Yarrowia lipolytica: one gene and its partner. The protein of the gene in region 1 interacts with the protein of each later gene in a pairwise test. Links are inferred from orthologs where the notes say so. Each region holds a gene or a part of one and is shown on either strand. Other genes may lie near its edges.

Region 1 (3,810 bases):
GTCTCCCTTTAACGTGGAGACTCTTAACGACAACCCTCTGGGTCCACAGTCTGTGGCTTCTCAGCTACATTTGCTGTTGGCTTCTTTGTCACAGAGAATCATTCCCGAGTATGCCTATCTCTCTGTGCCTGAAAAAACCATCGCAGCAGGCACGGGAAGCCGAATTCCGTTTATGGGAGGAGGAGTGGACAATACTGCGGACGTGGCTGCCCATATTCTGGAGGCTGTGCCCAACGTGAATGCCAACGTGATGATTTACATCTGCTCCTTCATCCGTCTGTTGGTAGACAGAAAGGCCATGACTCTCAAGACGGCTCTGGACGTGTTTGCACCTTTGCTGATGGACAGTCCCAAACAAGGAGGCGTGTCCAAGGTGTGGAAGAAGAGTCCAATCAGTTCTGCAAAGCTCCTGCAGCACATGATCGATACTTATTAGGTGGTTATAGAAATAGACGAGTTGTTTTGACTGGTGTAATTAGGCCTAACAGTCCAGAGTTGACATATGTTCTACTCTGTGGAGAAGGAAACGATTCCTGGAGGTGTTCATCAATACGAACCATACTCCTCATAGCATCGAACTCGGTCAATGCACGCGGAAATCATCATAAATGCCATTAAACCGCTATCTATCTATGTGCTCTATTTTACCCTGATCAGCTCTTTCGATCCAACAATCCTCCAGTGTGCAATGAGGCGTAGTTCAGCTTTTTGCCCACAATCTTCTCGTAGGCCTTTTCTCCTCCTCGAACAATCCACGATCCACAGACCACAAAGCCGCCGAGAATCGACAGCAGCTTGACGACAAACACGGTCAACGTCTCGCGCGAGTCCTGGATCTTGAGAGTCACAGGCTCGTACTTGTAATGGAAGAAGATGGCCGGTCGGGTGACAAAGTGCTCCTGCAGATTGGTGGTTTGTTTTTTGACGGCATACTGGTAGGTGTGGATCTTCTTTCTGCCGGAGCTGTATTCCACAGGAACGGCCGACAGGAAATACTGGTACGACATGAGAGGCTCGTCGGTGACGGTGCTCACTCCATCCAGAGGATTAAGCACCTTTGGGAAGTAATCTCCGAACGACAGTTCATGGATGGCATGAGTCAAGTTGAGACCATCGGAGGCCTTCATGGGGTTGATGAAGTACTGATTGTCGGGCAGATTGAAGATCTGGAGCGCTCCTTCGACGTGGTTGATGGGCACCGAGCCGGAGATTCGACAGTGGGGGTCGGTAGAATGCGAGCCCACTCGCGTGTGTTTGAATTTGCTCTTTTTCAGCGTCTTACTGTTCATCTCGTACGCCTTGTGGCTGTGGATCTCGTGTTGCATTCGGTCTGTGCCAAAGTCATATGTCAGGCCCTGCATATTGAGCAGCTCGTGTGCGAAAAACGTGTCTTCGGAGTAGTCTTGAGCAATCACCTTGATGCTCTTGCACGGCATTGCCACTGTCACGTCCACATTGAGCTGGATGGTTTCTGCCAGGTCCTTGGTCACTGTGTAAATGTGCTCCTCGTGGCCGTTGGAGTATCCTCGCAGCTCGGAGCAGAGAAAGTAGAAACACAGGACGCCAATCACCAGGGTGGCGAGTCCGCCTCGCGTCGACTGTCGCTTGTACGCGGTGTTGACTTTTGGAAACGCGTCAAACGACCTCAAGGTCGAGCTTTCAGACATGTTGTGGTGCTGGATCGTTTTGTTAGTGATGAGGTGGCTTTGGCCATATGCTCTGACACTACATAGACATGCCTCTCAGATGCATGATTTAGTTTATGTCAGAGCAGTGAGATAGGATTTGTCCGCGTTTTTCTGGAAGCGACGTATTAACAGGAAGTAACCTAGCCCCAAAGATACTCTTGATTATCCGGCGCAATATCCCGTTTTTAACCGACCCTTGACCTCCTCTTAACCGAACGGCAACGCTCACAAAACCGTCCACTAATTTGACAAAACTGCACAATTTTTGTTGATTAATTTGAAATTATTAGTTGACGCTTCTCGATAGATCAACCGAAGCACAACCAATCTGAGTGGAGACACCTACAGCTAGAGAGAGACCTACGATACAATCACGATACAGCCCAACTACGAGTTAGTGTCAAATACAAACAATCAACTCTCTTCATCTTCCCTCCAATCAATCGTCAGACTTCTGACTCTCCCGTGTATACGAACACACGCACTCCCGGACGTGTTTGGTGTAGGCGTCCGGAGAGTAGCTCTTCTGGCAAATGGGACATTCGTAGGTGATGGTCGAGGCGGCTCCGGTCATGGTGTGTTTTGGTTGTAGATATTGAAAATGTTGCAAGAAGAAAGAAGTAAAAGAGTCAAACAGCAGTTATTACAAATACTCGCCTCATATCGTACATGCCGAGGCGTTCATTTGGGCCACATATTTCCAGTGCGGGGCGGTTGCTCAACAAGCGTCGAAGCTACAAGATCAAGTGTCAATGTCGAATAGTACATACAGTACAGTAAGCAAGTGGCTTGATATGTAGAAACAAAGATCTTACAGAGATGAACCGAATTGGACTTCCGTGACGATACGACATGATTCAGCTGTCTGTTTCATCTCCATGTTCTGAATCATAGATTGCTGTATACAGTATCGTCATGGTGCCCCGAACATGCCACAAGAAGTTACCCGGATGTATCGTACGATACTCATGGTATGGTAAGGTATGGTGGTATCGTACAATGCGTAATCTAGGAAAAAGAACAAAGGAAAAAATGACAGATATGTGCCGCGGTTTCTCCATCAATAAAAAAATTGGTCCCTAGCAGGATCGAACTGCTGATCTTCGCGTTGCAAAGAGGCTAATTTCTTATTAGCACGACGCCTTAACCAACTGGGCCAAGGGACCGCGAATTTTTAACACCCAACCTTGTTTTTCCAATATCTGGTCAAATATGAAAAATCGATCTGGCGAAAAAAAACCCAAAACTCGTCCAAAACCCGTTCTAGAGACGGTAAAAAGGCCTACAACAGTTCACCCACGCCCCCCAGATGTCAAAAATCTACTTTAAATCACGCCTGAGCACCGAATGTCCCCACTTGACACTCCTCCTACAGACACAAACAATCATTCTAAGCGGCGTTCAGAAGGAGAATGGCTACTATGCAACAGATACAGTAGGCGGAGCAACTCTCTGACCCCTGCCATTCCCCGCCGACTAGAGTCGATATTTTGGCTTCTTTTTGCTCCACTTGGCTGCCGTTGAGAGTCTGATGTTAAGAGTGTGGGGTAGAGAGCAGCGCATTGCTTTCGGCTAAATCTGATAAAAAAAAGATGGTAGTATCACTGACGTTGCATTTCTGACAAAATTCAGTGACAAGTGTCCTCGGTGATCCGGGTACAGTTTGCGCAGAGGACTCATAGTGCATGTTCAAGTTCTGTACATACCAACGTTCATCTCAGACAGTAGAGAAGATGCTCACGAAATCCTAGAAAACTGACCACGGAAACTCGTCTATGAAACTCGTTTGGAAACATCTGATTTCTTTTTCTTTTCTCAACAATATTCAAGACCAACGGCTACAACAACATCCCTATCCCTATCCCTGCCCTTGGTTGGGGTGGCTGCTACGGTTTGACAGCTGTCAGCGCCAAGACAAGGAAAAGTTTTCATATCGCGAAGGTCAGGAGATATGGCGACCCATGTCAGCTAAAGGCGACCAGCTCCGGGGCAACTCGGTCAGTTTCGGAAAAATTGTCTCTTGGTGTGCCTGAGCTACTTGTAGCCAATTCGGAATCTTCCGCGGCTAGTCTTAACCGACAGGTACAAGGCTAGGCACTAGGGAGGTCTCAAAGAAGAGTGA
Region 2 (3,550 bases), on another chromosome or scaffold:
GAGTGGCTCCATTGTCAACGACCCCCAGCCCCAGACCCCCTACAACATGTCCAAGGCAGGTGTCATCCACATGGCCAAGTCTCTGGCTGCCGAGTGGGCCCAGTACAACATCCGAGTCAACACTCTGTCTCCCGGCTACATTCTTACTCCTCTGACCCGTCACATCATCGAGACTGACGGAGAGCTCCGAAACGACTGGGAGCGACGAATTCCTTTCCGACGAATGGCTGAGCCCGAGGAGTTTGGAGGCCCTATTGTCTTCATGGCTTCCGACGCCTCCAGCTACATGACCGGCCACGATCTCATTGTCGATGGAGGTTACACCATCTGGTAAGCAAAAGAATAGACTAGTATTATATACAATACAATCGATAGATCTGATTGGCGCAAGTACAAGTAATTCATTGCATGTACGAGTACTTTGATTTAGGAGTACAATAGTAGCAGGTAATAACTCGTACTCGTTACAACTGTAGCACTCAGATAATCATTCAATCATCAGTAATTAAAGCCATATCTACCCGTGGATACATCTTTCATTTGTGGCTGTTATATTATTATTCACTATTTGAATCAGGTGTAACTCATGACATTGCCACTCGCGAACGACAGACTCTCCTAGTATACATTATTTTTACATCGCGGTAGATGTCAATGTCTGTATCAAACTCTACCAAAGTGTTGTTGCTGACTAGTAATAGCTTAGTAGACCTTCTTCTTCTCGTCAATGGAGATTTTGCCGGCTCCGGTGTTGACAACCAGCAGAAGACCGCCAATGATGGACAGGGTCTGGAAGTGCTCGTACTTGAGGTAGTCTCGGACGGGAGAAGAGGCGGGGAAGGCCCAGTAGGAGTTGGCGGTGATGTTAAAGATGAAGAGGATGATGCACAGGAGGAACGCGGAAACTCGGGCCTTGAAGCCAACAACGACCATGGAGCAAGCAGCAATTCCGACAATGGACACCAGAACTCGAGACATAGTCCAGGTCATATTGAGGATGAAGGAGGTGAACATGACAACCAGGAGGATTCGGCCTGCCAGGAGCACGTACTTGGACCGGTCCTTGTCGTCAATAGAGGGGAGACCAGGGAGACCTCGCTTGGACTTGTCCTTGACAAAGGCGTCGTTAAGAGCGATGAAAAGACCGCCAATGACGGACAGGTTTCGCAGAATGAAGCCAAAGTCAAAGATGAGGCCGTAGGCCAGAGCCTGGGTGACAATGACTCCGACCAGCAGACCGCAACCGACCTCAATTCGCTTCTTGGCGGTGACCATGAAGGATCCGGCGATCATGGCAACCACGTTGAGCAGCAGAAAGATGACGGTGATAAACTTGGGGATGTGCTTGAAGTTGGTGATGTAGTAGACCTGGTCAGACCACTGTGTGAGGATTCGGAGCGCGTCCTCCAGGAAAGTGACGACAATGAGGAACCGGCCGAGGGTGGGAAGATGGGGCTTGACCGGGCCCGAGTACTTGTCCAGGAAGACCTCAATCTTCTGGGTCACGGCCTTGACCTTGTCGGCAAAGTCGCCCTCTGTGATTGTGGATTTGAGGTTGAAGTCGCGGTTCTGGGAGTAGGACGAAAACTGTTGACCCTGGGGGGCTGCGAATTGCGGCGCGTCGCTCTGGACGGGTATCTGGTGGTATTTGGCGGTGCCTCGGATCGACATTGTTGTATGGTGTGGTGTTAACACAGGAAGATTGTGAAAGGTAGAATATGTAATCTTGTGTGTGCCAGGTGGTCTTTCGAGAGTTTGTTCAGATCAGCATGCCCACTTCGCTGCAGTAGCCAAAAACAGATGTGTGGAATGGGAAGGGTGGGAAGCTGGGACTAGGCAGGGTAGTTGTAAGTGGACGTTGGAGGGCTAATATATCTCCGTTATTCCGCCATTGCGTGTCCTCTTATACAGATTGGCCACTTTTACGGCGATGACATCTCCCATCTTGCTGTTCTCTTCGGTTAATTAATTAGGTCATCTCAAACTACAGTATTAGCTACAGTCCACGTCATGCGGCGGCAAGCTACTGTATTTGGTGGGGTTGGGGGGGAAAGGATGTTTATTACTGTAGAGCAGGCCTGGCGTAAGCTACTGTATAATGGCTGAGGGACGCGAGCATGGGTCTACGACTCATATGTAGGGCTAGATTGACTTACGGGCTCAAGTGATAGGAAAGGGCTTGTATACGCAGTAAAACACACGTTAATAAATAATTCAATTGAATCAAACAATATAAGTACAGTACGGGTACCCCAGATCGTCTACTCTATCGGTTGTGTCTCTCGCAATACAGCGTCCCTTTTTCCACCTCACGGTTTCACTTTTCACGCACGTCCCCAAACCTTTTTTAGCCGGGTCAAACAATGACGTGGCATCTGAAGGCCAGCTGGCTGCACTGCGTGCACACGGGAGGTGTGAAAGAGAATGGCTTCGAATGGGGTAAAGTGAGGCCATATGGGGCAGATGGGCATGTGCTACGAGAGCATGAGGCCGGTAGGGGTCTAAATGGGGTATTTGACTTGATGCAGATGGCAATTGTACGTGCACCGAAGCGACGTGACTCTCAGTTGAATACTGTTGTATACTGCCGTATACACTGTCCGAGGTCTATAGTGAGCAAGACTGATCAGTGTGGAAGTATTACTAACCGAGACTTAGTTGGGATCCTACAACGGTCTCAAGTAGCTACTGTAACGCGTCCGTCTCCTTGTTAGGAAAAAGCCCGTCTTTGCCTTCACAATCACTCTCTCCCACTCCTACACCAGTACGATACTTGACAGTGTATCGCATCTTAGTTGTACCGTAGTTTCACGCTCATTCCCCTCCATTGTTTTGACACGCTGGTCCATCGAACCTAAGACTAAATCCGATGCACGCGAATCTCCGGAGCCAGAAAAAACAAGCAGGGAAACGACAGCGAGACTAGAGATGGTATTGTAAGTGAGGAAAGTCGGTTGAAACTAGTACATAAAGAGTGGGGCCAGGCGGGTTGGTGGATTATTATCTTCCAAATGCTCGAAGACACGTGTATAGCTCATTATCTTCCCCCCCCCTACTCATCAAGCTTGGGTCATTGTTGCATTTAATGTTGTGCATTTCCAAGCCACGTGACCCGACAAGCGTTACCCTCCCTGACTCTGATGATGATTTGGCCTTTTTCGTCCCACAACCAACACAAACTCCTTTCTGGACTAATTGCAGCACTCAACCCAGACAGTCTTATTCATTCGATTTTGAATAATCAAGACTTTGTCATTAACTTATTGCATTTTATCGATTGCGTGAACTAGAGTGAGTATCTCTCGACGATGGATGGGCCCCTGGAGCTCCTCCATTAATCATTTCCCAGCACCTAGGGGTGTGAGCCCCGAAACACATGACAAGATACGATGAACAGAGGTGTCCCCAACGCCATCGACCAGCAATCAACATGATCAAACAGCCGCCATCCATTCCGACACCGAGGCATACACTTGTGCCATTTTTATTTGCCGACCTCCCACAACGCCACCGTGACAAAACGACACGTTTATCTTATGGCTATGCACAT

The links.
Region 2: the proteins of YALI1_A17720g (region 1) and YALI1_F03428g interact in binary tests that used the Saccharomyces cerevisiae proteins (3 or more experiments, as listed by UniProt). The link is inferred for Yarrowia lipolytica from reciprocal best matches to the Saccharomyces cerevisiae genes ERV41 and ERV29.

The regions. Positions count from the first base shown.
Region 1 is NC_090770.1:1,770,368-1,774,177, forward strand, and holds YALI1_A17720g (uncharacterized protein), read right to left. Parts: upstream 1,668-3,810; coding exon 654-1,667; downstream 1-653. Other genes in the region: YALI1_A17671g (uncharacterized protein), read left to right, coding at 1-436; YALI1_A17724g (uncharacterized protein), read right to left, coding at 1,975-2,075, 2,148-2,262. UniProt on the Saccharomyces cerevisiae protein: Constituent of COPII-coated endoplasmic reticulum-derived transport vesicles. Required for efficient transport of a subset of secretory proteins to the Golgi. The C-terminal Ile-Leu motif is required for exit from the endoplasmic reticulum.
Region 2 is NC_090775.1:340,998-344,547, reverse strand, and holds YALI1_F03428g (uncharacterized protein), read right to left. Parts: upstream 1,672-3,550; coding exon 703-1,671; downstream 1-702. Other genes in the region: YALI1_F03452g (uncharacterized protein), read left to right, coding at 1-334. UniProt on the Saccharomyces cerevisiae protein: Constituent of COPII-coated endoplasmic reticulum-derived transport vesicles. Required for efficient transport of a subset of secretory proteins to the Golgi. The C-terminal di-lysine motif is required for exit from the endoplasmic reticulum.